Linked DNA regions of Tamandua tetradactyla. The main gene of each other region encodes a partner of the protein of the gene in region 2 in a complex. Links are inferred from orthologs where the notes say so. Each region holds a gene or a part of one and is shown on either strand. Other genes may lie near its edges.

The links.
Region 1: DRC8 (region 2) and DRC5 share a complex: the UniProt entries of both Homo sapiens proteins name them as parts of the nexin-dynein regulatory complex. The link is inferred for Tamandua tetradactyla from reciprocal best matches to the Homo sapiens genes DRC8 and DRC5.
Region 3: DRC8 (region 2) and DRC12 share a complex: the UniProt entries of both Homo sapiens proteins name them as parts of the nexin-dynein regulatory complex. The link is inferred for Tamandua tetradactyla from reciprocal best matches to the Homo sapiens genes DRC8 and DRC12.
Region 4: DRC8 (region 2) and DRC10 share a complex: the UniProt entries of both Homo sapiens proteins name them as parts of the nexin-dynein regulatory complex. The link is inferred for Tamandua tetradactyla from reciprocal best matches to the Homo sapiens genes DRC8 and DRC10.

The regions. Positions count from the first base shown.
Region 1 is NC_135331.1:101,910,271-101,917,693, reverse strand, and holds the start of DRC5 (dynein regulatory complex subunit 5), read left to right. Parts: upstream 1-4,414; 5' UTR 4,415-4,504; exon of another isoform or gene 4,505-4,702; intron 4,703-7,423. Other genes in the region: AARS2 (alanine--tRNA ligase, mitochondrial), read left to right, coding at 207-290, 411-521, 976-1,140. UniProt on the Homo sapiens protein: Component of the nexin-dynein regulatory complex (N-DRC) a key regulator of ciliary/flagellar motility which maintains the alignment and integrity of the distal axoneme and regulates microtubule sliding in motile axonemes.
Region 2 is NC_135333.1:16,560,433-16,567,591, forward strand, and holds the start of DRC8 (dynein regulatory complex protein 8), read left to right. Parts: upstream 1-4,155; 5' UTR 4,156-4,533; coding exon 4,534-4,759; intron 4,760-7,159. UniProt on the Homo sapiens protein: Component of the nexin-dynein regulatory complex (N-DRC), a key regulator of ciliary/flagellar motility which maintains the alignment and integrity of the distal axoneme and regulates microtubule sliding in motile axonemes.
Region 3 is NC_135334.1:21,541,788-21,548,839, reverse strand, and holds the start of DRC12 (dynein regulatory complex protein 12), read right to left. Parts: upstream 3,017-7,052; 5' UTR 2,837-3,016; coding exon 2,726-2,836; intron 1,762-2,725; coding exon 1,596-1,761; intron 1,182-1,595; coding exon 1,116-1,181; intron 685-1,115; coding exon 565-684; intron 75-564; coding exon 1-74. UniProt on the Homo sapiens protein: Component of the nexin-dynein regulatory complex (N-DRC), a key regulator of ciliary/flagellar motility which maintains the alignment and integrity of the distal axoneme and regulates microtubule sliding in motile axonemes.
Region 4 is NC_135331.1:13,883,538-13,891,147, forward strand, and holds the start of DRC10 (dynein regulatory complex protein 10), read right to left. Parts: upstream 3,022-7,610; 5' UTR 2,755-3,021; intron 1-2,754. Other genes in the region: TPCN1 (two pore channel protein 1), read left to right, coding at 6,123-6,234. UniProt on the Homo sapiens protein: Component of the nexin-dynein regulatory complex (N-DRC), a key regulator of ciliary/flagellar motility which maintains the alignment and integrity of the distal axoneme and regulates microtubule sliding in motile axonemes.

The DNA.
Region 1 (7,423 bases), on a different chromosome or scaffold from region 2:
AGGGGGGAGGACACAGGTGAGACCCAAAAAGAGGAGACCACCATAGGCTTGAGTTCCTGCCACCTCTGCTCAAAGCTGAAGACTTGCGGAGGGGCCAGGGAAGAGGAAGGGAGGGGAACGCTGGGCTGGGGCCCAGTTCAGAAGTGGGGGCCAGCTGGAAACCTGCTTCCCAGTCTCTCCCTTCTGCTTTCCTTCTTATCTCACAGGCAACAAAGAAAGCCGAGGAGCTGCTGGAGCGCCATGCAAAGGGGCCTCTGATTGTGGACACAATCCCCACTGAGTCCCTCTCAGTGAGTGTTAGGGGAGGGGGCTGGAGGGCTGCCCAAGGGTCTGGGGAGGGGAAAATTGTGACTGGAAGGTAGCTGGGAGTCTGGGTAGCTATGGGCTCACCTCTGTCCTTCCTTGCCCAGGTGCTGGTGAAGGTGGTGCGGCAGCTGTGTGAGCAGGCCCCCAGCACATCTGTGTTGCTCCTCAGCCCGCGGCCCCTGGGGAAAGTGCTGTGTGCCTGTCAGGTGGCCCAGGTGAGGGAAGCAGAGAGCAGCCCCGCATCCCCACCCATTTCTTGATCCAACTCTCTGACTCCACTATTTTTATTCCTCCCTAACGAGGAAGACAAGGCCAGGTAGAGGTTATCTATGAGGACAAGCAGGATAAGGCAACCTTCTATCCCTAAAGACCACCTACCTTCACCCCCAGAGACATGCCTCCTCAACAACTTCACCAGAGTATAATCAGAATGAGATTCCCTAATTACCAGCCTACTCCCGCCCCCCCCCCACAAGCCTCACATCCCTTGCAAACAAGAAGCAAACATTCATTAACCTCTGCACACATGCCCAGCCTTTCTGTCTCCTCAGTGATTTCCCCCAATATGGAGAGGGGGTGTGAATCACCTGTGATTTCATCTCACAGGCTGAGTGGATGGTGGCAAGGAAGGCTGTCCTGTATGACTTCACCTTCTGTTTCTGTCCCCAGGATGCCACACCCACCTTCACAGCAGAAGCCTGGGCACTGGCAGTGTGCAGCCACATGGGGGGCAGGGCCTGGGGCTCTGGTGTTGTAGCCCAGGGCACTGGAAGCACTGCTGACTTAGAAGCTGTCCTCAGCACCGCCCAGGCCTACGCTCTCAACCAGCTGTAACCCAGGCCTGTCCAGGAATCTGCATGGACTGAAGAGATACTGGACAGGCAAGACTAGGAGCCCTTGAGGAGTGACCAGACCCCACAGAGGGTGAGGCAGAGGCCTGGAGGCTGAGACTGAGCAGCTGAACTGGAGAGGCCACTCTGGACCAGAACTTCCATGGACACAGACAGATGTGGGCCAGGGAGAGCAGAGGGAGCCCAGAGCACACCCCCACTGAATGAATGTGAAGACACAGGCAATCATGGCTGTGACTGTTCATTATAAAGTGTTTCACAGAAGATCCAGAAGTTTCTTTTAGTTAAAAAAAAAAAAGCTGCCTTTCTGCTCCCACCTGTATATCTGCCCCACCACCAGGTCTGTCCCCTCACACGGGGCTGAAAGGCCACCAAGGGTCCAAATCAGGATCATCTTCATCACCAAGTGCCAAAGCAGGTTCTTTCAGGTACTCACAAGGATACTGGCCCCCAAGATTCAGAACAATCATGTAAAAATCAGTACAGTGGGGCAGACCTGGTGTTCATTTCATAACGGTGACTTCTCATTTTTAATTAAGACACTGCTCATTTGTTGATAAATTGAGCAACAGGTACTAGCCAATGGCTGAGAATGTGGTAAAAACCAAACAGACAAAAATTCCTACTCTGGTGACGCTTACTGCTAGTGGAGAAAACTAGCAGTAAACAAGAGAAAGAAGAGGATGTCAGATGGTGATGAGGTCTGTGGGGAAAAATAAAGTATGGAAAGAGGATCAGGAGTGTGGAGGTGGGGTTACTGCCTCTTCAAGAGGCGGCATCTGAGCAGAGACCGGTAGGTGAGGGTGTGAGCCACGTGGCTCTCTGTGGCAAGGCCATTGCAGGCTAAGGGAAGCACTGGTGCAGAGGCCCTGGGATGGGAGTGAGGCAGTCAGTGTGGCTAAGCACAGTGAGCTGAGAGAGTGGCAGGTGACAGGGTCAGAGAGACAGTGGAGGCCAGGCCAACCTTACTTTTTTTTTTTTATTAATAAAACCAATCAACATACAATATGCACATTCTTTTTTTCATCACATAATTGTATATTCATCATTTCTTAGAACATTTGCATCCATTCAGAAAAAGAAATAAAAAGAAAACAAAAAAATTCATACATATCATACCCTTTATCCCCCCTTTCATTGATCACTAACATTTCAATCTATTAAATTTATTTACATTTGTTACCCCTATTATTTATTTATTTTTAACCCATATGTTTTAATCACTTGTCCATAAGGTAGATAAAAGAAGCATTAGACACAAGGTTTTCACAACCACAGAGTCACACTGCAAAAGCTATATCATTATACAATCATCTTCAGGAAACATGGTTACTGGAACACAGCGCTACATTTTCAGGCAGTACCCACCAGCCTTTCTGTTATGCCTTAACTAAATAGGTGGTATCTATTTAATGCATAAGAATAACCTCCAGGATAACCTCTCTACTCTGGTTGGACTCTCTCAGCCATTGACACTTTATTTTGTCTCATTTCTCTTTTCTCCCTTGTGGTTGAGAAGGTTTTCTCAATCCCTTGGTGCTGAGTCCCAGCTCATACTAGGATTTCTGTCCCATGTTGCCAGGAAGGTCCACACCCCTGGGAGTCATGTCCCACGTAGAGGGAGGGGGAGGGCAGTGAGTTTGCTTGTCGTGTTGGCTGAAAGAGAGAGGCCACATCTGAGCAGCAAAAGAGGTTCCCTTAGGCCTAATTTTAAGTAGCCTTAGCCTATCCTTTGTGGGGTTAAGTTTCATATGAACAAACCCCAAGATTGGGGGCTCAGGCTATTGCTTCAACCTTACTCTTTTTCAAACAAATTGCACCACATCTGCCCCCAGGCTGAGCTGAAGCTGGAAACAGGGTCTAAAATTGGCAGCTCAGAGGAGGAGAAAGCCCTCCTTGCCTAACAGAATGAACCCCCCCAGGACTGAGCCAGACTCTGGAGCTCTCTGTCCCCAGTCTATTGTTAGATAAAAAGAAAGGATCTCAGGAGACCCATCTTCAAATAAGTGTTCCCTGGCTACCGAGTTCTGCGGCTATCTAGTAAAAATATTAGAGCAGGTAGGTCCTCCTGGCATCACTTCATTCCTTACCTGATTTCTCACTCAAATTAAGGCACTGATAACTGGTTGGGAAATCACTGATGAGGGCTTCTAGGGACCCACATCCCTGGTGCCTGGCCCCTGACTGCTCACCCCAGCCCTTCGGGGCTGCAGAGCTTTATTTCGGGATCTGGGTAGTTAGAGCAGACCATTATTCAATGGTGCTCACCCAGGCCCACCCAGCCTTTTATGAGCTCCATGGCCACTAGAATGAGGACTTGTGGTACCCCCATTTTACCAAGGAAATTGAGTTTCTGAGATGCTGGCTTATCCAAGGTAACCAAGGAGTCATTGGGAGAGTGGAAATCAAAGTTAAGCTCTGTCTTCAGGTGAAACTCTTCCTTCCACCCTGGCAGCCTCTCCCCTTCTGAAGGACAATTTATTTTCCTTACTAGTTACCGGTCCGGGAAATCAGAGGCACCACATCCTATCACCCCAAGGTTGTGGGGGAGGAAGGGTTGACACCAGGCTTGAGGCTGTATGAAGGAAGGAGCTCTATGGAGGCCTGGAACCTTCCTGCCTCAGGTGCCAGATACCAGCCTTGTTTACAACCTAAAGAGAGATGGAAGTTGCCACCCTTCAGGGATGCAGTAGCCCAGAGCTCACTTAGGGGGTCTGAGTCAACACGATGCCTCAGAGGAACTCCAATAACTCTTACAGGTATGCTGGAGAAAGTCCTTCTACCCCCTCATCTTCCAGAAGAAACATTCACTGAGCTTTTCCTAGACCATCTACTCCCCACCACCCCAATCCCCTGTAACCACCCCACCCCCATTTCCAGGCAAAATGTACTAAGGAACAAGCACTTGTGTCCAGGTGCCCTGCCACATCCTCCCACCCACTTTCTCCACGAATAGCATACCCATTCCTAGCGTCGCCAAGGAACACAAAACCACCCCAAGGCCCCAAAGTTCCCACTAAGCAGGCCCACGCAGCAGGCCAGGAGGAAGCTTCCTGAAGCAGGGTCCCGGCCGCCTTGCGTGCCAGTTAATCCTCGCCAAGGCCAGTGGCGGCAACCACAACAGAGGAACAGGCTTCTGCGCCTCCACGACACACCTGGGAAACACGGGGCCCACGCGGCGTACACGTGCACGTGCACACCGGGCCTGGGGCCCGGGGGGGGGGGGGGGGGGGGGATGCAGAACGCCCGGCGTTGACCCGCCCCCTGGCAACGCCCGGCGTCCCTAACGACCCCTCCGGCCGCGCCGGGCCTGCTCAAAGGCGAGCGCCAGCACTCCGAAGGAGCGGGTGAGGCGACCTCCCTGACGGGGGACACTCAACCCCCGGGGCCCCTAATGGGCTGAACTCTCCCCGCCCTCCCCCTGGACGCCTCTCCTACGCCCCAGAGAGAGGACGGGCGCTCTGATCCCTCACAGGCCTGAAGCCCGAAATCCGCAGGCAGCCATCGTCTGGACTCCCCACATTTCTCTGGGTGAGGAAGGACAGGTTTGTAGCTATGGGAGCTTCCCACCCATTTGGGGCGGGACTCGTAGTTCCTCCTTAGCCGCAGTCACTGTCTGCAAACTGGCCCAGAGGGTAGGAGTCTGAGTAAGGGATGGGGAGTGGATGCGGGGGACCATGGGGAGAAGGAAAGGGCAGGGCATCGGGTAGGTGTTGGAAGAGAACATGGAACAGAGCCACTGGTCCTAAGCCTGGAGCCCAGGACTCTCAGAAAGGCTGACACCCAGCCCCAGCTCCCCAGGCTGCCATCTCTCCTGCAAATCCACAAGCTTCCCCATCCCCCTCCCTCCCACCGCCTGGCTGGTTTCCCTTGGTTACCCAGGAGACAGCCGGAGCCTCTAAGGCCCAGATGGGGTGGGGGAGGAACTCGCTGACCTTTGGAGCTGAGCTTCCCTGCTGGGGTATCTGAGTTGAAAGTGAGGGGTTAGGAGCGAAGTCGCTGGAGTCTCTTTAGAGACAACAAACCCAAGTGGACAGGAGTTCGGAGAGGACCCAGGTCAGGGGCTGCGATAAGTGTGCTGACCTGACTGGACTATTTTACTGGGTCAAAGACCAAGCATGCTGGTCTTGGGCTCTGTCCAAGAAACTCTTTTGTCCCCCTTCTTGTGACTCCACTATCTGGGAATTTGGGAGTGACTTATACTAGATAAATTCTGACATGGTGGGCATGAAAGAGATTACACAGGAGGTGTAGAAAAAAGCTCATCCTGAGGATGAATGCCTGGGGAGAGCTTCCTTAGGGAATCTGGAATGGGGGCGAAGCTGGCTAAGAGGGCCCAGAAAGCACAGTCAGAGAGGTGGGTAGAGACCCGGAGGAGTGGTGCGTCAGGAAAGTCCAGGAGGAGAGAGGCTTTAAGATGACATGGCAGGCCATCCCAAAGACTCCAGTGCCCCCTGGAGATTGACACGTAGGCACACTGCCCCTCAAGGGGCCTTTCCCCAAGAGAGCATTGAGATTGGAGGCTAGATTTCAGGAGCTGGAGGAGAGCCCCTCATCTTTCAGGGTAAGAACGGGAGGATGCCGGGTCAGAAAGGAGGAAGAAGCGAGGCTGTGGCTGGAAAAGGCAAGGTCAGTGTCAGGTGAGAGACGGAAGTGGTGGGGACAGGATGGAAGCCGAGATGGTCAGCAAGGAGTGTACGTGGGCACAGAGTTACTCCAGGGTCTAAAGAGGGCCAGACACCACATCTTCTCAGCTAAGAGGAAGGGAGGAGAAAATAGTTGAGCACTAGGGATGTGACAGGGGCTGGAAGGTGAAAGGACTCTCCTCACCCCCTAACATCTTGAGCCTACCCTTTCAGGCAGGTTGGCAGAGGCTCTGCCCAGAGTAGGTAGTTTTACTCTGAGGCCTTGAGTCAGGATGGCGAAAGTCTGAGACTTCCTTTGGGAGGAGGAAATGTGCCAAAGATTCAAGCATCATACCCTGATCTGGGAGGAGAATTGAGGGCCGTGTGTGAGCCAAGGGTCAAGGACAGCACAGTTCTGCAGTGTTCTTCTAATCCCTTTAGGAGATCACACCAAAGGAGATACGCATTGATCCAGCTTTTGAGGGAGATTTCTGTGTCTGGCAGTGAGCTGGGAGTGAGGAGGCCTGGGCTGTTAGGTCTGCACAGCAGGCACCAGGCTGCTGACAAGGAGAGAACTCCTGAGCTGGGGACTATGAGATGCTCTTTGAAAAGGGCTGTGAATGACCAAGTTGGTGGCAGGTCTGAAGCAACAACAACATATCATTACTTATTTTATTTTTGTGCATGGAAGTGAGAGCAGGAGACGTTAACTCAAACTTCGGCCTCTCCATTTACTAGCTATGTGACATTTAGCAAGTTCCTTAAGTTTTCTAAACCTCAGTTTCCTCGTTTGTGAAGTGGAGATAATAATTTTAAAACTGAGGATTTAATAAACATATGTAAGTCCATGGTGAAAGTCTCCCTGGCAATATGGGACAAGACCAGCTGGGGCAAGTCTGGCCCTGGCACCGTGGGATCAACACCACCTTCCTGACCAAAAGGAGGAAAAGAAATGTAACAAAATAAGGTATCGGTGACTAAGAGAGTTCAACTGGAGTTGAATATCTATTCTGGAGGCTACTCTCATGCAACCTTTAGCTAGATATTGCTAATAATCACAGTTTGCCAAACCCCAACCAAAATCATTCCTATTAACTCTAAAGAATACCTAAGGCTCTGAGATTCTACAAAAGTTTCACATACTAAAATTACTTTCCAGAAACCTACAACCTCCAGATAGGGTCCTAGGCCAGATAAGTCCTAAAACCCAGAGGGGCCAGCCAGCCTCTCCAAGGACCTCAACTAGTTCCATCCCCCTATCCCGTATTATTGACACCCCTTTACCACATGAAAAAGTTAGAAACGGCAGAGCCCAATACCCCTAGAGACTGGTAGAAGGATCAAAGGCAAAGTAGGAATTATAACAGAAAAGATAGGATTTGACAAATGAGTATGACTCCTGAATAATTATATTGATATTTCTTTTAGTCTCCAATGCCTTAGAGCAGCTAGAAGGAAAAACCTAGAATTGTGGAACAGTAAGCCATACCAAACTCTGAAATCTGTTCTATAACTACTTGTTACAATGTACTTTAACATTAATTGCTTTTTTGTACATATATGTTATATTTCATAATAAAAAAATGTTTAAAGTGAAGGTAAAAAATGTATGTAGGTAAGCAATCGAACACCATCATGATA
Region 2 (7,159 bases):
TCAGAATAAATATTTTCTGCATCCCTCCAGGGCATGGTGCTAAAGCCTGTCTGAATAGATTTAATCCACTATAAATTCAGGCATGCAAAGGACATAACCTACCATGCTGGAGACCTGGGTTTGATTCTTGCCACATGCATACAAATAAAAAAAAAAAGAAAGAAAAGAAAAAGAAAAGGACATAAGGACATAACCTGTACATGTCCACCTGGTCCTATGGAATAATCAAATAAGTATCACTGTCTAAAACTATACTCTTTTAAGCTTATATAGTATCCATGAGAAGGATCAAAAATATCTCTGTTTCTTAGTTTCTGAAAATTACTGTGAGATTCTTAGGGGGAAAAATGCTTTAGCAGTACACAAAATTGCAAAGTTACTCAAGCTATAGTACAGAAACAAAAATCACATGAAAGAAAAGATTCTAGTTCACCATTGTCTAAAACAAGCTAATGATCATTTAAAAAGAATTAAAAGTATAATATATCAAGAGAGTCAGGTTTCCACAACCAAAAAAAGTGTAAAATCAAGTCAAATAATGACATTGTACAGATCATTTATTCACTGGCATTGTGAGCATTTGTTATTTGGATAACCATTTTCACCTTCTGGAAAGGTTTCCAGAATGATGATCTCTAATCAGCTAATCACAGTCAGTTCAAAAGTATTATTAAGCAGCTATTATGTGCCCCCAATTACGCTGCGTTTATAAGACTAGGTTCTTGCCTTCTGTGCTGGTTTGAAATGATGTATGTACCCTAGAATAGCCATGTTTTAAATCCTAATCCCATTTTGTCAAGGCAGACGTTTTCTTCTAATCCCTATTCGGTATTGTATGTTTGAAACTGTAATTAGATCATCTCCCTGGAGATGTGATTTAATCAAGAGTGTTTGTTAAACTGGATTTGGTGGACGCGTGTCTCCACCCATCTGGGTGGGTCTTGATTAGTTTACTGGAATCCTATAAAAGAGAACAACAAGAGCGAAAGCCAGGAGATTCAGAGAGAGCAGAGAATGCTGCAACACCACAAAGAAGAGAGTTTACCAGCCGGCGACCTTTGGAGATGAAGAAGGAAAACTCCTCCTGGGGAGCTTCATGAAACAGGAAGCCAGGAGAGAAGCTAGCAAATGACCCTGTTCGCCATGTGCCTTTCCAGAGGAGAAACCCTGACTATGTTCGCCATGTGCCTTCTCATTTGAGAGAGAAACCCTGAACTTCATTGGCCTTCTTGAACCAAGGTATCTTTACCTGGATGCCGTTGATTGGACATTTCTATAGACTTGTTTTAATTGGAACATTTTCTCAGCCTTAGAACTGTAAACTAGCAACTTATTAAATTCCCCTTTTCAAAAGCCATTTTGTTTCTGATATATTGCATTCTGGCAGCTAGCAAACTAGAACACTTTCAAACTTAATAAGGAGAAGGAGTTAATATATATTAAATATTTTTTACTCATCCAAACCAAAAGAAATAGCATTTTCTGAAATGTGCTTTAGGAATTCAGAGAAGTAATTAATCTGGTTTAGAGTAATTTAAATAAAAAGTTTGCTGAGGTGTTAGATTTAGTCACAAATTTAAAAGTATTGAGCAGGGAGTTTGCAGAAAATCTGTTCAACTCTTAAAATAATTTGGTTTTTATTTATATATGAGTTCCATTTTATTAACATGTGCAGCCAGTAAGTTTGCTGATACAAAAATATAATAGAAAAATGTCTTACTTGGGATAAGTCTGTTGACTCTGGGTCTTGAAGAAAATCACTGAGGAGACCAACTCCAGTCTTAATTTTTTAAAATATATTATTTCAGACACAAAAATTGAAACATTTTCTACAAACTAGAGATATATGGATGAATAAAGCCTGAAGCATTTACAGTTTGGTAGAAGGAAATAAGTAAATCATTGCAAATCATTGGGAGAGGCTCTGTAAGATGTGTACGGCCCCCCCAGAGGAAGAGGTTATAGAGAAAACTTCCAGGCGGTAACCTTCAAAGAGATCAACAACCAGGAAGGGTCAAATATGTGTCTGTGGGATGGTGAACTGTGGCGAAGGAAGAGAGGGAAGAAAGGTACTTAAGAAATAGGAAACTGCAAACAGCATATAAAAAGGCACAGTGAGTAAGTAGTGGAGTTTAATTGGGGTTTAAATTGCAGTGGGAGAGTTGGGACTTTCTACATTTATTTTAAAGCCCTTCATTATCTATATGAAGAAAGAGAGTCTAAAGACAAGTAACTAGACCATAATGACTGTGAGATTTAACATAAATGACATGCTAATAATTAATTAGCTAATACAATGCTAATAATTACTTTTATATTTGGGTGTTAAGAATTCACTATATGTAATTGTATTTATTTCATATAAATATCTTCTGATAAGAAATATTATGATAATCGAACCATCCAATTTCAAATAGAACCACATGGATACCTATCTTTTTTTTTTTTTGCATGGATAGACACGGGGATAGCAGGAGAGAACGCTACCTGCTGAGCCACCGCTACCTGCTGAGCCACCGCTACCTGCTGAGCCACCGTTGCCCGTCCGCACATGGATACCTTTTATAGTAAAAACCTTACTTTAGTAAAGAATATAGTCAGTTTGCTTTAGGTTTTAGTTTAAGATTTTAGATACAGAATAAAATGAGCATAAAACCAGTGTTAATAAAATAATTAAATAGAAGTATCTTGCATTAAATACAAATTATCTCTTAAAATTTAGTTAATAGTTGATAAATTGCTTCTACATTCATCACGTCATTTACATTAGTACAGCATATACACCTAAGTATCATTTAACATTAGTTTTAAAATAAGTATTTGAGCCACATCATTAGGCATATTAAAACGTTTTTAAGAAGAAAATAATGTAGTAGCGTGAATTTAGTCTTAAAAATAACATACTAAAAAGTTAAACACAACTGCAAAATTCCAGAAAAGCAAGATTGAACGCTTTTCCATAGCCACTTTCACTGGAGGTCATCTCAAATTTCACAACTAAGAACAGTTTAAGATGTAATACTGGCACATTTTTGTTGCTAAGAGAACCTATTTTGTTTCAGAATTGCAGCCTTGACGACGCAATGTTTGCGCCTGTTTTTACACGTTTTTCTAGCGCTATTTCTCTTCTCTAGCAGCAATAGTCTAATGGCGCTGGTTTCCCCTTGCACCCGGCCCAGTTTTCCGTTTTAGCTTCAGTTCTCACAGGCTGTGCGCTCGCCTGTTCTGGAAAGGGCGGGGAGGACTGGAAGGGAGAAGCCCGGAGGGAAGGGTTGGGGTGGCGCGGCCCCACTGCAGCCGCCGGGGCCGCTCCCCAGCGTGGACCCGCTGTGAGTGCGGAGGCCGAGGGGGCTGGACGGCGGGAGGGTGCCGGCCCCGCCGGGGCAGCGGCCTCTTCATCAGGCTCTCGGCTGCGATTTAAAATCTGCAGCAAAAACCGTGTGCACACATCCTACAAACAGGAGGGGCGGGCGAGGGCAGTGTGTCCGCGTGATGTCCCCGAATGAGTCGGGAAAAAGGGAAAGGAGAGGTTCGAGAAATTATCAAATAGTTACCCCAGGCCGGAAAAATCAGGGCCCAGGCCTTGCGCTAGAGGAGAAAAGGCTGAGGGGCCGGTTGGCGCAGCACTGGGGCCCGGGCGATAGCACCGGCTTCCGCGAGAGGCTCGGGGCGGGCAGGGCAGAGGATGCGCGCCCGGTCTCCCCCACCCACCCCGGGGGCTTCCTTCCCTGGGATTCTTAGAGACTCGAACTCTAGGCCCGGCTCGCCGTGCGGCCGGAGCGGGGAAAAGGACGCCACGACCTTGGGTAACGCTAGGCATCTCCCAGGCGACAGACTCCGCGACAAGATGGCGGAGGAGAGGGAGCGCACAGGTAAGCGCCGTTGGGTGAGCGGCTGCCCTTGCAGCCGCTGCGACCCCGGGGTGCACAGGCAAATGGGGAGTGGGGTTGTTCGCCGTTCATCTTGTATCCCCACCACAGAGAAAGAGGTGATTGAGAAGACCGGTCGACCAGCTCTGCAAGGGAGGCTTCCCTCGCCCCCGCGCGGGGTGCTTCCCGGGCGGACTCTCGGCCCCGCCTCCCCCTTCTCCCCACTCCTCCTCCCTCCTCCCTCCTCCCTCTCTTCCCCCTCTCCGCCCCTCCCTCGAAGGCCCGAGCCTCGGTTCAACTGTCGGGCTGAGGGACAGACGGGCGAAGGCAATAATGGCGGCCTTGTTCACGTTCTTGGGGACGTCGCCTTGCCCGGAGTTCTCGGTGCCGCAGGCGCCACGCCAGCAGCTGCTCAGGCTTCGGTCACCACCGGGTGGCTGGGCAGGACGGGCGCCGGCTGCCAGGATCTGACGGGCTCCCTTTCGGTCGCGCCGAACTCCCTCCCGGGCCCAGCCGGATGGCTTTGCGGCCACCATTTTGCCTCTGTGGTGAGGACGTGGGAGGAGGGCCTGGAGGTCACCGCCGCTTCCTGCGCGCCTCCCTGGCCCCGAAAATGCCTGCCGTCTTATAAATAAAAGCAAATCAAAATCCAGCAATTTCAATAATGACGAAATGGCCCAATCGCGTGGGAAACGCGTACGAACCCCCGTGTGCAGGCAGAGAGTCCCCCCCGGTCCCGTGGCGGGAACAGCCACCCCAGCGCGCGGTCGCCGCTGGCACGGGCCAGACTGGGCCGGGCGGCTTAAGGTCTGCCGGGTCCGGAGAGCTGAGAAAGGAAAAACTGATTATCCAAGGTTATTTGCAAGACATTACATTGTTTTCACTCAGCGGTATGACTTAAAACTAGACCTTTAAACTAGACCCTTAGTTACCTTGGTTGCCTCGTAGTTACTACTAAAAGTAAGTGTTTATATTTATTAATTGCCAAAGTCACCGCAGAAACAAAGTGATAAAGCAGTAGAGGTAACTTAGAAATGAAAACAATATTCCACCTTTGTGTCCTTTCTGGAGCGCTCGAAGACTTATATCAGCGTTCTGTTTTTCTCAGCATGGAACAAAGTCAGGTCAGGTTAAGTGAATAAACTGACCCCTAGATGCTTAGTCCCTTGCCATGGTGATCAGATCAGCAGAGGAGAAACAAATGAAACGGTGCCAAAGATCTGCCTATTGATAACAGTAATACTCTTTGATCTTTTCATGGTATGGTTAGTCTGAGAATGCGGGACTGTTAAATAGATGTTACCTTTCCTAAAATAATTATAATTTTATGATGCTGTTATACTTACAGAAGTATGAGATATTTTCTAGATAAATTTTAAACCTTCCCCAGAAAAAGGAATGATTTATTCTTATATATTCTAAGTTCCTATTTATAATAAATGGAAAAATCATTAAGAGATAAATGTTCTAAGTTAATTATGGATTTTTTAAAAAAGTGATTTGATTAGAACAGCATGAGAATCAAAAAGCACTGGATTATGCTCCAATTACGCTATCTTTACTTTTTTTAAATAGAGCTTTCCTGATTTTTCAATTTTCAAAAATGTTTTCCTATTTAAAATAAATTAATTCAGAGAAAGAAAAAATTCTGTACACAATCATAGAAGTAATACTGTTAAAAGCTGGATACCATTCATTCACTGGCATATATTTAATTCCTAACATATGGAAGCCATTCTGCTTAGATTAGAACTTTGGAGGAGACAAAGATGAACAAGACCTGGTCCCTCCTTCCAAGAAAGGTGAGTTTAGTGAGGAATATGAATCATATACAAATGGGAGGGATCAGGTTACTAGGTAGAGCAGCATTTGTGCCAGACACTGTGCCAGGTATTGTACCCTTGCTACTCAAACCCAATCTGTGGGCAGAAGGTTCAGCAGCAGTGGGACTTTGTCAGAAATGAAGAATCTCAGGCTCTGCATTGTGAATCAGAGTCTGCATTTTAACATATTTGCAGGTGACCCACATGCACCTTAAAGTTTGAGGCGCACTGTTAGATAGTATATGCCACTTATTCTTAACAGTTTTATGAATTAACTATAACTGCATTTTGAAGGGCATGATGAAATAATCTTATGTTGTCTGAGGATAAACTAGAGACTTGGTGATATTGATCTTTGAATGGACATTTTCCACTCCTATATTTGATTCTCAGGTTTGAAGTTTCAGAAATTACTTCTAACTTGACTAAGCAGAATTGATCAGGCTTTGGGAATTCAATTAAGCTAATGAAACTCATGAAAGACTGATTTGCAAACCTGGATAATTTAATAATTTAAATAAGAGTATGTTGATACAATTACCAGAAAGCTGATTTCTGCAATGTAATACACTATATTATGGGTATTAAACTTTTGGGGAGATTGAATTTATATTTCAGAAGTTGCTTGATGAGCATAGAATCAAACAAAAGAGGATAGTTTTGAAGCATGTATCCATTATCAGTTTCAAGAGGTCAAGGACCTTTTCTGATCTGTTATACCCAATGTACAGCAGTGTCTCCTTGAAGTATGCATTAAATAAATATTTTGAATTTAGATCATCTGAAGTCATCAAAGTCAGTTGATGTGTTAACTAAGGTCATAACTAACTTTATTTAATATTCTATATCTAAGTAAACATAAATAATAAAATTTAATAAAATAAAGCTAATTTCTGTTTTTTTTTTCTTTTCCTTACTACTAAAGCCTTATGTTTATATTTAATCTGGGTCAACAATTTTTTTTTTCAGAGGGCCATGGTATTAACTAGTGTATCTTAAAAATTTCTTAATAGAAACATGTTTTAAATAGTTCATCTTAATTTTGAGATATATTGCAGTTATATAGGAGCAGTAAGTTTCTGGGTAGTCAGCTCCTCTTCATCATTTAGGGATTAGCACTGATATAAGTATGGAGAATATTGATAGGAAAAATGAACTAAATTTAGTACAGGGGCTATTATACTCTTTTTTTTTTTTACATGGGTAGGCACCAGGAATCGAACCCGGGTCCTTGGGCATGGCAGGCAAGCATTCTTACCTGCTGAACCACCGTGGCCCACCTGGCTATCATACTCTTGTAAAACCTTTCTGTACTCTTCCGTATATTGAAGTTATTATGCTGATTTGTAGCGTATTTTGTGCCTTGGCCTAGTATAATTTTTTTTCCTAGATTAAAAATGTGTGATAGTTGTATTAGCTAAAAAATAAAATAAGTTAAATTTTAGAATTGTTAACTTAAAAATTCAA
Region 3 (7,052 bases), on a different chromosome or scaffold from region 2:
CCTCACTTCCTCCTCCAGCCACCTGCTGCGGTTCTCCATCTTCTCCTGCAGGGCCCGGTACTGGCGAGTCATCTCTATGGGAGGGACGGGGTGGGGGTGGGGGCAGCGACTCAGTGGGGATGGAAGAATGGAGAAAGGAGATTAAATTGTAGGTGAGGAGGGCCCAGGGGATTTATGCTTGGTCCAGTGGGATGGGAGCATAAAAGCCTTCTTGATTCCTCTGGAGAGATTCTGAGAAGTTGGGAGTCCCTGAAAACCCGGGGGAGGGAGAGAAAACCAAACCCCTCTCCCCATTCCAGCCCAGGATAGGGATTCTAAGCTGTCCCATTCACTCCCATGGAATCAATGGGGTAATGGCTATTGCTACATTGCATAACCTGCAAAGCATCAAGCACATGGCATCAGGGATCCTGGAAGATCCCTGCCTAGGATCCCCGAGGACTTCTTTGGGTTTTTTAGGATCTGCCTCATTTGTCCTGAGACTGGGCACAGCAAATGTATCTCTTCTTGGTTGTTCTCTTCCAGAGCCCTGCCTCCTGCCCACCCGCTAAACCCACCACATACCTGCATATACGGCCTTCCCTTCACTTCGGGCTCTCTCCAGTTCAGCCTCCAACCCTTGCAACCTTTGCTTCAGCTGGTCTTCAGAGGCTTTGGCTTGGCGGGCCTCGTCCCTCCGCAGGGCTGTGGGTGGTCCCAGAGCAGCCCTCAGATCTGACTGGGGGCCCCACTGAGCCAGCTCCGTGTTTTTGACTGGCCCTGCCCACTTTCAGAAACTTGGAGGTAGAGCATCTAGCCTCCCATTCTCACCTGGGTGCCACCCACCCCCTCCTCTCAGAATCTCACAGACTTTTCACTATTAAGGAGCAAAAATTTCTCACATTCTGGCTGTAAAAATAGCTCCCTAGTTCTCTCATCAAACCTCAATGCCCACCCCCTCCCCACCACGATCTCAACTCATAACAGTGTTTTCCCATTAGGGAATGGTTAGAGGTTAGCTTAACCCCCAACCATAGCTCCAACCCTCCAATCCCTGAGGATGAGAGGAGGTGGTGGAAACAGAAATACCTCATTGCCCCACCCCTGTAGCCTCTTGGAGCTCCTGCCCTTCTTACCCAACTGGTCTCGGAGCAACTCCTTCTCCAGCACTTCCAGCCTGTGCTTGGACTCGGCTTCCACATCTGCCCTAGCAAGTTGACAGAGGAGAGGGTTGCAAGCCCTTGGTCTTGCTCTCAGTACCCTCCTCCCGCGACTCTCCTCCCCTCCTCACCCAATCTCTGGACTTCCTTTCTTCCTGAGGTCTGAGGTTACCACTGCATCCTCACTGCCTAGCATAGAGTGGGTATTCAAAATATATGTGATGAATATATACGGAAGGCTCAGAGCTGAACCTGAGCTAGAAGGGACTCAAGGGAGGGGTCAAATGACTGATTTTCCCCAATTTCCCACCTCCATGGAACCTGGATATGAAGATATGAGGGGGGAGGGTCAAGAAAGCTCCATCTCATCATACAGAGGACCAAATAGTCTCTGGAGGACCGGTGCTGGTCTCTGTGCCAGAGCATGGAGAAGTGGGGGGCACCCCCCCAACTCACCAGCACCTGAATTCTTTTTCTTATTCTGTGCCCCAGCTTTCAGCCCTTTTTCTTTGGTCTTAGGTGGCATCTTCTTGCTATCCAGAAGAAGGAGAAGACTGGTATTCACGTCTGGACACGGGGATGCTTTTCTGACTTTTAGGCTGAACCAAGAGTCCTGGTATAACTGAAAAATTAGGACTTAAGGAATGATTATGGTTGCCGAATCATTATATAGAAATTCCTTTTTGCTTTCTAGTACACTGGAGTAGACAGAGGGAAATACCTGAAATCTCTGAACTGGAATCCAGCTGCCTTGACCTCTGATAATGATGTGTAGCCTTTATCTTGTGTCCTTTGTGATTGTAAAAATTTGTGACTAACCGTCACGTGTACCCATTTTTCCTGTTTTTCGACTCTAGAGTCTCCAGTCTTGTTATCACTAAAGACAGCCCCTAATGTTTATTAATGAAGAGTCTTGGGTCAGCCCAGAACTAACCCAATCAAAATCCAAAGTTACCTTGATTACTGGAGGTGGAGCTAATAAAAAATGGGCCTGCCTGACATGTGCAGTAGGTTAGACTTTAACCTACAAGTCATTGATACCTAATTATAATACCAATCAGCATATTAAAGTCACCATTTTCTTTCATACCTTCTGTGACTAAGTATGTAATCAATCTGTGCATGCTCAATAATCAGATCACCTCTAATTACATCATGTGGGGCCACTGTGCTCCTTATCCTAAAATCTGCCCATCTTATGATACTATAAAACTTTCAGAATTACTGCAGTTCAGGGAGACACATTTTGGGCTGATAGGCCATCTGGTCTGCTTCCTGCCTAGCAATAAACATTTTCTGTCTTTGCAACCCCGGTGTCTCAGGAATTGGTTATTGAACTCACTGGGGAAAAGAATTCACTGCCTTTGTCCGGTAACACCAGGAAAGTGGGAATTCTAGTCTCCAACTCTGTTTCTTGCACTTTCCAGAAGCTTCAGTTCTTGGTCTCTATGGACTCTTACATGGAGCTGTTTTTTTCTATCCATTTGGGTCTTTACACAGAAGTCATCCCTCTCAACCCTCTTTTAGAGAAAAATGAATCTCAGTATCTGCTTCTCCCCCATCTCCCTCACTCCACCTCTTCCTACCTTTAGAATCCTCTCTTGCCTCTGTTGCGTCTCCCTGCGGAGTGACCCTTTTGAGGAAGGGCAGAAAAAAAGTCCAACCAGCAGGAACCCAAAGAGGAGGAAGCGTTCCATGAGCCAATCCAGGGTGGCAGATTTCCGACGGGGGCAGGACTGAGAACTGGAAGGTTGGGTTTTTAGAGACAGCCTGTTGTCCAGGCAACTGGGAAACACAGAGCTCGCAGGAAGGTAGAATGGGCTATTTTAATTCACTCGGCTTAAAACACTAAGATTGCAGAGGGTCAGTCCTCTCCTTATTCCCAAATTCAAAGTGTGGTTTGAGGAGAAAGGACTTTGGAGCCAATTTGCTATGATTCACTTCCATGTAGGAAGTCTGCAATTTGGAGACATACAAATTACAAGCTTTACACATCAGAAATAATAGTGTTGTGCTGATGTGGAGAAAAAGGATTCCTGATAGCCATTTTGGGCAATTTACAGCTCTAGGGTCCATCGGGAAAATGACATTATTAGGCTTAAAACTCAAGGTCCTCTTCAGTAAAAAGCATTTTTCTGGTGTATAAGGGAGATGCAAGAAGCAGGTAGGAGAGTTTCCCATTTCAAAGAAATGAGACACAGAGGGGAGATGGACCCATGTTGCCCAGGGTGTGGAGAAAATGGGACTGGCCGGAGAGACAAGAGATGCGAGTTCTAGTCCTTCCTCTGGTTTCCTAAAGCTGGGCAAGCCATTCAACTTCGTTTCAGCTTCAAGTTGCTGGTCTTTAAAGCTTTGATTTTTGTAAATCAAAATGCTTGGGTTTAACGGGATTATTTACAAGGGTTGCTTCTCTCTTGGTGTATTAATCTCACTTTTTACGTGGTTGATTTTCAATGAGGTTCTGAGAAAAAATTTTGCCAAGCTCCCTGCAGCACAGTGTTGATTGGAGCTCCCTCTAATGTTCTTATCTGATCTTGTTTCCAGTCTGCTTAACTTTTAAAAAAATTTTTTAATTTTATTTTTTTAAATACCAAAAAACACAAAGCAAATGCAAACATTCCTATTTTGATCATTTTGTTCTACATATAATCAGTAATTCACAATGTCAGCACATAGTTGCATATTCAGTATCATAATCATTTCTTGGAACATTTGCATCTATTCAGAAAAGAAATAAAATGAAAACAGAAAAAAAATTTATACATACCATACCCCTTACCCCTCCCTTTCACTGATCACTAGCATTTCAAACCAAATTTATTTTAACATTTGTTCCCCCTATTATTTATTTTTATTCCATATGTTCTACTCATCTGTTGACAAAGTAGATAAAAGAAGCATCAGACACAAGGTTTTCACAATCACACAGTCACATTGGGAAAGCTATATCATTATTCAGTCATCCTCAAGAAACATGGCTACTGGAACACAGCTCTACATTTTCAGGCAGTTCCCTCCAGCCTCTCTATTACATCTTGAATAACAAGGTGATATCTACTTAATGCATAAGAATAACCTCCAGGATAACCTCTGGACTCTGTTTGGAATCTCTCAGCCATTGCCACTTTGTCTCATTTCACTCTTCCCCCTTTTTGTCGAGAAGGTTTTCTCAATCCCTTGATGCTGAGTCTCAGCTCATTGTAGGATTTCTGTCCCAAGTTGCCAGGAAGGTCCACACCCCTGGGAGTCATGTCCCACGTAGACAGGGGGAGGGTGGTGGGTTTCATTGTTGTGTTGGCTGAAGAGAGGGGCCACATCTGAGCAACAAAAGAGGCTCTCTTGGGGGTGACTTCTAGGCCTAATTTTAAGTAGGCTTGACCTATCCTTTGTGGGGTTAAGTTTCATATGAACAAACCCCAAGACTGGGGGCTTAGCCTATAGCTTTGGTTGTCCACACTGCTTGTGAGAATATCAAGAATTCTACTTGGGGAAGTTGAATTTCTCCCCGTTCTCACTATTCCCCAAAGGGGACTTTGCAAATACTTTTCCACTCACTGTTCAAATCACTCTGGGATTCATCGGGGCATCACTCTGGACAAACCAACAAAATCCCATGTCCTACCCAAGGTTCCAAGTACTTATGGTGTTCAAGCAAGCTATCTACATAAGTTATATTAGGAAATGCACTAGTCAAAATATAAATTTTGTACCAAATAATCATTTTTTTTCTTTAGTCTCACACATAAGTTGAAATTTTAAAATATTAATTACCATCTATTTTCAGCATCCTTTGTTCTTCCTTATGCAAAAACATTTTCAAAATTTGTACATTTAGTCACTATCATTATACACTCTAGGCATTCCGAGATTATACCATCTCAATCTTTATCGTCTTTCTTTCTGATTTCATTTATGCCCCCAGCCCTCCTCCCTCTATCATTCTCACATTCAGCTTCATTCAGTGTTTTAACATAATTGTATTACAGTTAGGTAGTATTGTGCTGTCCATTTCTGAGTTTTTATATTCAGTCCTGTTGCACAATCTGTATCCCTTCAGCTCCACTTACCCAATATCTTACCCTATTTCTATCTCCTGATGGTCTCTGTTACCAACAAAATATTCCAAGTTTATTCACCAATATCAGTTCATATCAGTGAGACCATACAGTATTTATCCTTTTGTTTTTGGCTAATCTCAGCATAATGTCCTCAAGGTTCTTCCATGTTGTTAAATACTTCATAACTTTATTCTGTCTTACAGCTGCATAATATTCCATCGTATGTATATACCACAGTTTGTTTAGCCACTTGTCTGTTGATGGACATTTTGGCTGTTTCCATCTCTTTGCAATTGTACATAATGCTGCTATAAACATTGGTGTGCAAGTGTCCGTTTGTGTCTTTGCCCTTAAGTCCTCTGAGTAGATACCTAGCAATGGTATTGCTGGGTCATATGGCAATTCTATATTCAGCTTTTTGAGGAACCGCCAAACTGCCTTCCACAGCCGTTGCACCATTTGCCATTCCCACCAACAATGGATAAGTGTGCCTTTTTCTCTACATTCTCTCCAGCACTTGTGGTTTTCTGTTTTATTGATAATGGCCATTCTGGTGGGTGTGAGATGATATCTCATTGTGGTTTTGATTTGCATTTCTCTAATGGTCAGGGAAGTTGAGCATCTCTTCATGCACCTTTTGGCCATTTGTATTTCCGCTTCTGAGAAGTGTCTGTTGAAATCTTTTTCCCATTTTGTAATTGGATTGGCTGTCTTTTTGTTGTTGAGTTGAACAATCTCTTTATAAATTCTGGATACTAGACCTTTATCTGATATATCGTTTCCAAATATTGTTTCCCATTGTGTAGGCTGTCTTTTTATTTTCTTGATGAAGTTCTCTGATGCGCAAAAGTATTTAATTTTGAGGAGTTCCCATTTATTTATCAGTCCGCTTAATTTTTAAAGCAAAAAAAATTTTTTTGGCATGGGCAGGCCATGGGAATCAACCCTGGTTTCTGGCATGGCTTATTTTTTAAAGCAGATTTTTTTTTTGGTACTCTGCTTAATTTTTAATTCTAATTATTTATTGGGCAATGTTGGGGTTGCCTACCTCTTGAGTATACTTCCTTGCATCTTGCTAGAGTCATGAGTGGTTGGAGAAATAAATTTGGAGAAGTGAATATGACAAGTCAGGTGGCCCCTACCCTCCCTCCAGTCCTGTGCCATTCTGGAGCCTTGTCATCTCACTGCCATCTGGATCTCTGGACACCTGACTGTCTAGAATGAAAACAGAAGAAACTTCAGGGCTTTCCCCTGGAGGATTAAGGGGCCTGCAGACTCTTTCTTTAGACGCCTCTCTCCATTCTTGTCTTCCTCAACATTTTTGGTCAATTGCCTGTCATCAGGAGCAGAGTGGCTGAAGTAGCCATGAGATCTGGAAATAAACAGTCCTTCCTCTGGGCAGCAGGCAGGTTCAGGAAGAGGCCAATTCATGTTTATTTTGCACCTTGGCAGCTTCTGGGTACTTTTCTGGATCCTTCAGACATTACAGAGAAAAGAGAGGAGCCAGGCTTGTCTTTTCAGGTGCTTATAGCAACTGTGACCCAGGGTCAGGTATCATGTGCACATGCTCCAAGTCTGGAGAATACTTTTCTTCTAGTCTTGAAGCGTGTCTCTCATTTATTCTCCCTCCAGAACCATCTCCTTCTGCCCTCGAATGTAAGGGGGTGGAATTCCTGTTTCTGTCCTCCTCATCCTGAAGTCTATGGAGGTTTTCTGCATGGATGATTAGTGTCTGTGTTATTTTGATGTCTGAAATAACATAGCAAAGACAGAGATTATGGTGTAGAAACCATGTATCGTGCCTCAGACGAGCCCTTACTTTACAAACGTGTTCAGTTAACCGACTTTCAGGTGC
Region 4 (7,610 bases), on a different chromosome or scaffold from region 2:
TTCTCTAGTGATTATAATGTATACCTTAATTTATCACAATATAACTCAGAATAATACCAACCTAACTTCAGTAAAATATAGAAACTGGTCTAAAATATCTCCTTCACCATCCTCCTCTTTTGTGTTGTTATTGTCACCTTTATTACATCTATACATATTATAAACACAACAATAGAACATTATAATTATTGCTTTATGTAATCTGACATCTTTTAAAGTAGTCAAAGGAAGAAATGATAAAAATGTTGATTTTTTTCGATGTCAGTTTATCATACATTCCTTTAATTCTTTAAACATGGTTTCCTTTAGTTATTTGTACATATTTATAATAGTTTCTTTGAAGTCTTTGTGTGCGAAATTCAATATCAGAGGATTCCCAGAGATAGTTTCTATTGACTGCTTTTTTCATCTTTACACTTTTTTGTTTCTCTGCCTGCCTCATAATTTTCTTTGTTGACTATTATACATTTTAAATAAAATTTGCAGCAACTCTGATTCTCTCTCTCTCTTTTTTCCCTCTTAAAAAACTGTTGTTTTGCTTGTGCATTTGTTAAATAAGTTGCCTGGACTACATGTGTGAAGTCAGTCTCTCCCACGATGCACAGCAGCTGCTGTCTCTGCCCATTTCTTTTTCTTGTTTTTATATTTAAGCCTGGCTTCCTAGGGGTTGCCCCTGTGTGTGCATAGCTTAATGTTCACCACAAATTGGTCAGAGGTTGTGCTCCAACACTTTCAGCCAGGAAGGCTTTCATTCTCTGCTAGGGAGAACAATGTTCAGGTTGCTTTCAAGCCTACCCTGGCTTTTAATTTCTGCCAGACCTCCTTGTGTCTCCTCTGCAAGTGTGTACAGGCTCCGATGGCCAGGGATGCATAGGTGGTTGGACCTGCTCTATTCTCTGCTATATATATGTGCATCGCCTTGGTCAATGCAGGATATGTGGAGAGCTTATTAAGCACCCTATAGCTGTCTCACATCTCAGGATTCTAGGTTGCTGATCCATTTTGGCTCCAAACAGGACTGCAGCCTTGGGCTTAGTGGAGTTGCTGGCCCTCCCTGTTCACTTGCCACCGAGGTTGCCACTTCAACTGCCAATGCTCCAAATTAAATAAGCCCCCTCAGGCAGTGACAGTGAAGCTATTAGTTTTCATGGCCTGCCTGCCCTGATTGACATATCACACTGATAGAACTGGGGGGAGGGGGAATAGAAGCAGCCACTGGTAAGTATGCCACAAATTTGAAGTTCAGTGGTTTTCATGTACAAATGCTCTCAGTTTGTTCTATGCCTTTGATCAGTTTCCAGAGTGCTGAGATAGAACTAGACCGTTTCGCCCAGCTTTATATTTGCTTTTTGAGGAGAGGATCTGTTGACTTCCTTGCTTCATCACGTTGGATATGACTGTTCATAGGTGTGATTTCACATTTTTCTGTATGTTATTTGATTGTTTATTTCCCACATTAGGCTTCAAGCTCCATGAGGGGAAGAATGCAGTTTCCTTTACTGATTGATTATTCTATACCAACACCTAGAGCAGTGCCTGGCCCTTACTGGGCACTCAGTAAATACTTGTTGAATATATGAATACTTAAAGGGATGGAAGGAGAGAACTTCCTTGGAGCTGTTTTAAGCAGGAAGAGTCATGGCTAGATGTGTTTTAGAAAAAAAGTTGTTATTATCATTAATAGTAGTAGTACTATTACTACTTAGTCCAGTTTGATAAATCTGCTAGAATGCGATGTACCAGAAATGGGTTGGCTTTTACAATGGGGATTTATTAGTTTACAAATTTACAGTTCTAAGGCTGCAAAAACGTCCAAATTAAGGCATCAAGAGAAAGACTCCTTTTCTGAAGAAAGACTGCTGGCATTCAGGATCCCTCTGTCATAGGGAAGGCACACAGCTGGCATCTGCTGGTCCTTCACTCCTGGGATTCGTTGCTTTTGGCTCATGGTTTCAGTGGCTTTCTTTCTCAGCTCCTGTGGGTCCTTCCTGATTCTCTGGCTATTTCTCTCTCTAAGCTCTCTCGGCTTTTCTGTCTTTTATGGTCTCAAAAAGGACTCCAGTAAAGGAGTAAGACCCACCTTGAATGGACTGGGTCACATCTCAGTTGAAACAACCTAATCAAAAGGCCCACCCAACAATAGTTCTGCACCCTTAAGAATGGATTAAAAGAGCATGGCCTTTTCTGGGGTCCACAACAGCTTCAAATCAGCACACCACTTTTTCCTGAGCACTTACTATGTTGTTGGCCTCTGTGCCAAGCTCTTCATTGCCTTACCTCATTTGATCTTCGCAACAAACTCTTTGTCTGAAAGTATGTACAATGAATCACATTTTAAGGGTGGGGATGGGAATTAACTTCTGAGGTCTGCACGTAAGTAAAAAATTGGTGTAATCAAAATGACCTAATTTAAACATTCACACAAGATGCCTTTGATTGCATGCCAGCCCATGGTTGTCGGGTGGAATGGTAGGAGACTATAAGCTACCCTCTTACCCCGTAGCACCTATGTTTGACTTGAAATAAATGAACTATGATGTGCCTCCACTTGATTTAGCTGGAGACCCGAGGAGGATGTGCAGGCGGTCGAGAGGGAGGTCCAGATTGAGGAGAGGCAGAGGCTGGAGAGTAGGGTCCTGGGGCTCGGACGAGCTAGGGATGGGGCTACTTCTTTATGGAGCCAAAGGAGGGCGGGTTAGTTCCTATTCCATATCTCCCTCTCACCTCTGCCTACGCACACACCTGATCACTCACCTGTTCGGAAGCCTCCAGGTCTCTGCCCACAGCTAATTCGGTGGCGCCTGCGTTGCTAGGTGACCAGTCAATCTCAGGAGGCGGGACTCGGCATCTGACTGACTTTCCTTTTCACCATTCAATTTCTTATTCCGCTCAGTTCGCCCCACCTCCTGGTATTTGACCAATCAAGAGCGCCGTCTCTCTGCCTCTGCACCAATTGCAAGAACCGGGACTCCCTCTGGGTTGGGCCAACGAAGGGGGGGAGGGAGGGAAGAGGAAAAGGGCGGAGCTTCTACGTCCCTCCCCTGCCGGAGGAGGCCGGCTGGGAGTGCTGCCCTCACCGCGGGAAAGGATTGGGAAGGATGTTAGGCTTAGCCAATCAGAGTTCAGCATGGCATCCAGGCTAGCCAATAGGCGGCGGCAAAGGGGGAAATGGGGGCGGGGCCTGCGGGGTTAAGGGGACTAGGCGGCGGGTGGGAGAACTGGCGCAGCTGCCGTGGCGGCTTGGTCTGGAGTGGCGGCTCATGGAGCGCCAGCAACAACTCCGCCCCGGGGCTCTGGCGGCCGTGGCGACGGGCTGGGTGCGTGGTGCGGTGTGGACCCCGGCACGCGGTCCGGGTGGCTGGGGCGGCGCGTGTAAGAACCCGGGGGCGCGAGAGCTTGGTCTGAGGGAGAGGGCAGGGGTAGGAGCCCAGGCAGGCGCGCGAAGTGAGGGGTTGCAGCAGGGCACCGGGAAGTGGGGGCCGAGGGGAAGTCAACGCCGCGCTTCGCTCCCTCCAGCCCAGGCCGCGGCTTTGCACCCTCTCTCCTCGCCACCAGCTCCCGGACGACCCCCGCGCGGGGGTTCAGACCAGGGCTGGAAGCGCGGGGAGCTGGAGCTGGCACTCCTGCCTCTTGCCTCTCCCTCGCCCGCTCATCCCCCTCGTGCCCTCAGGACGTCCAGTACGGCGCTTGTGCCTGGGTCCGGCTGCCCCAGCTGGCAGCGGGATACCTGCTGACCCCCTTTCCCCGGGTCCCTTTCCCAGGGTGACCCTTACCCTCCTGCGTCCTAGGTAGAGGAGTAAGCAAGGCGGATGAAAGGGGCACTCGGCTAGGACTCAGGAGTCCTGCGTTTTAGCCCTGCCTCTGCACTGTGTGACCTTGGGCAAGTTCCTTCCCCTCTCTGGGCCTCACTTTCCCCCATCAGCAAAATGAGGGGTTTGAATCCAAATTAGGGAACTGGTTCTGGGAGGAGGGTAGTTGTGAATCCTGTTACCATAGGGTAGTAAGGGAAGAGGGTCCCTGACCTTAGTCTGGGTTGAAATCTGGGCTCTTCTATGAGGCAAGTTAAGTAAACTTCACTAAGCCTCTGTTCCCTCCTCTGTAAAGTGAGGATGTTAGCTATGAGGGCAGCACTGTTGACATCTTGGGCTAGAGAATTCTTTGCAGTGGGGATCTGTCTGGAGCTGCTGTCTAGTTGCATCCCAGACCTCTACCCGGTAGATGCTGGTAACCCCCTCGTGCCCTGACTCTCCCCACAAGTTCTGACTCTCAGAAATGTCTCCAGATGCTGTCACATGTTCCTGGGTTGGGGGGATTGTCCCCAGTTGATAATCACTGAGCTAAGGCAATGTAAGCAAGCAATCATACGTTAAACAGTTAAAATGAAAATGTAGTCATTATGTTAATGATGATAAATCAGAAAACCTGTTCTTGATGAGTTGAGAGGGTTAATAGATCCTTCCAACCCTCAAATACAGGAGAGGATGGTAAACTGTTGGTAATTTGTTGAAGCTGGGGAATGGATGCAAGGAAGTTCATTTACATATATTTGAAAATGTCCACGGTAAAAAGTTAAAAAGAAAAAAACAACACATAATTCTTGAATAAGACAGCTTGATCGTAGCTTCTCATTTGAATTTCTCCTTCTTCTGCCTCCCCATTACTGAGATCTAAAAAGAAAATAAATCCCCAGATTTGGAGGAAACATTAAAAAAAAGAAAAAAACTCACAGGAAGTTTGCTGGGCAGAGGTACAGGCTTTGTGGCAAGTTGAAGGGTGTTTACTTTTGCTGCCTTGTTTTAAGATGTCCTCTTCCCTCTTGATTCAGAGGGAGCTGCCTGAAGTTATTTTGATGGCTTGCGGAAGAATTCAGCTGCTCAGTTGTCATTCATTAGGTCAGTTTGGAGGCAAAGTTAATTGATCCCAAATGGTAACAGCTTGAGGAAGGAACCTGCCAGCTGTTTTCAAGTTCAAAGGTCTGCGGTCATATCTGCTGAGTCTTTGCTTTTCTGTTGGCTCTCCTAAGAGGAAATGGAAATGCGATTAAATAGGAACTCTGAAAGTCTGTTGTGAAGGTTTTAAATTGTAACCTAGGGACAAGCACTTTTGTTATGTGACTGGATCTCTTTTCAGTACCTTTGTCCTCCTCAAACACCTAAAGCTAGGAGAGTAGGGCCTAGGATATGGACAAATGGAGATCACCTGCCATGCTCTGCAGGTCACTGAAGCTGGATGCTGCTTAAGAATCAGGGCTACTACTTTGAGGAATTGAACTGAAGAGCTAAGAGCACCATTCTGAAGTCGGACTGCATAGTTCCAAATTTGGCCTTCTGACTGTGGGTTCTTGGTCAAGTTACATGCCCTCTCTGTGCCTAAAGTTTCCCTCTCTGTAAAAGGGGAATAATAATCCGACCTATCTCACTAGGCTATTATGAAGATTGACAGCTTGTATTTATAAATTGCCAGAAGAGTGTCTGGGACATAGTATGCACTCAAAAGAGTATTAACTACTATTATTTTTATTTATTTATTTATTTTTACATGGGCAGGCACTGGGAATCGAACCCGGGTCCTTGGGCATGGCAGGCAAGCACTCTTACTTGCTGAGCCACTGTGGCCCACCCAACTACTATTATTTTAATAGTTGTATTTTTTTTTTTTGAGTCTTTAAAAAACTTTTAAAAATTCACATAGACACGGGTAAGGAAGGAATGGAATGTATTAATCACAAGTTTACTTTCCAGATATAAGTATGCTTAACTTTTCAGCATATGTTTTTGCAGATGTTGGGGGCATATACTGTACTATAGTTTTCTTTAAATTGAGATACAATTCGCGTATCATAGAATTCACCCTTTTAAAGTGTACTATTCAGTGGTTTTATTTTTAGTATCTTCACAAGGTTGTAAAACTGTCAGCATTAATTTCAGAATTTTTTTTTATCAATAATGGTTGTATTTTAGTAATTCTTTCTTTTCTTTTTAATTCCCCAGATCCTAGAAGATGCGTCTAATGGAGGTGTGTCTGAGAGGCACCTCTGAGGCTGTGGCTTTTAAAGGGATATCAAGCCAGAGACTGTTTAAAGCCCTGGACATCACATCCTGAGGTCTGCAGGAGAGAAGAACATGGCCGTGAGTTTAGATGACGACGTGCCCCTTATCCTGACCTTGGACGAGAGTGGCAGTGCCCCACCAGCCCCCTCCAATGGACTTGGCCAAGGGGAACTGCTTAACAAAAGTAAGACACTGAGGTGGGCTGGGGGAGCGTGACTCTTCTGTTTCTGAGTGCCAGGGACCATGTGGGCTTTATGGTCCAGTAGGAAAGGTGTTGTACCCTCTGGGCAGACACCCGTATTTGAGCTTCAAGTTCTGACTCAGAAGTGACTCCTAGGAAACCTTGGGATTTCTAGTCCCATCCACAAGCTTTGTGATGCTTTTGGGGCTAGCTGGCCCTCTGAGAGCTCTTGCTTCTCTCTGCCACTTGCCTCCCTTGTGCTGTGGATACCTTGACCTTGTCCATGGATGCTTGGCTGGGATCTTGGTCTAAGCTCCTTGGCTAGCTGCCCCATTCCTTGTTAAAAACAAAACAAAACAGATTTCACCACCAGCCTCCCTCTGTCCCAATCTGAAACCATTGGCAGGAAGGTAGAGTTGAGTGCTTCTTTCCACTTGAGCTCAGTCTGTGCCTTGCCCAGGACAGAGGTGGAAGGGGGCAAGCATTTGTTGTGAATTCTGTTGACCTGCTCAAGTCAGCCATTGATCTGAGGGTTTTTGGTTTTGCTCTGTCTTCCTCTAAACCAAAGCCTAGCACAAAATGAGGCCAAGAGAGGTTGTGAGCTTTACATTTTTAAATTTTAAGTGTGTTTCTGGCAGAATGAGAGGCCTTAAAAACCTTTCTGGTCTTTGTCCTGAAGCCAGTTGCTTCATTTCCTCAGGCCTTAGCCTCAGGAGAAGCTTAAAATAACTTATTTTTAGGAAGAGTCCTAAGACACTGGAGATAGCGCTTTGGGGTCTCCTTAGCAAATGGATGTTCCACACATCTGCCAGTCTTCAGCCAGGACGGTGGGCTTATTGCTCTTGTCTAGTTCACAAGTGAAGACACTTATCTCCTTCTCTGACCTATTTCCTTTGTCCAGAGAGAACACATTTGGGTTGCAGAGAACTCAGCATTTTCCCCGTGGAAGTAATGAAGGAGAGCAGTGTTCCTTGGGGATGGGAAGGCAGTGATGGGCTTGGCTCCCTACAAACTGGCCTCTCCTTGCTTCTGCATGTTCACCCCCGTCTAGAGTGGCAGAGCTGGGTGGCTCTGGTTGAGCATGGTGCAGGAGGGTTAGAATGTAAATCAGATGTTTTCCTAAGAACCATCCAGGACTAGAAAAGCAGTGGCTCTGATTGTTAACTTTTCTTATATTGCCTAGAACTGTCAAGCTAAGCATCAGGCTTTAACTTTCTGTTATGTAGGTCCCTTTTGCAAAATAGGCAGTATTATCCCTATTTTATAGAAGGAGGAACTATGGGTCAGAGAAGTTAAGTCACTTGCCCAAGGTCGTACCATAGCCCACATAGTGACTGGACAGTGATTTGAACCCAGAACTGTCTGACTACAAAGATCCT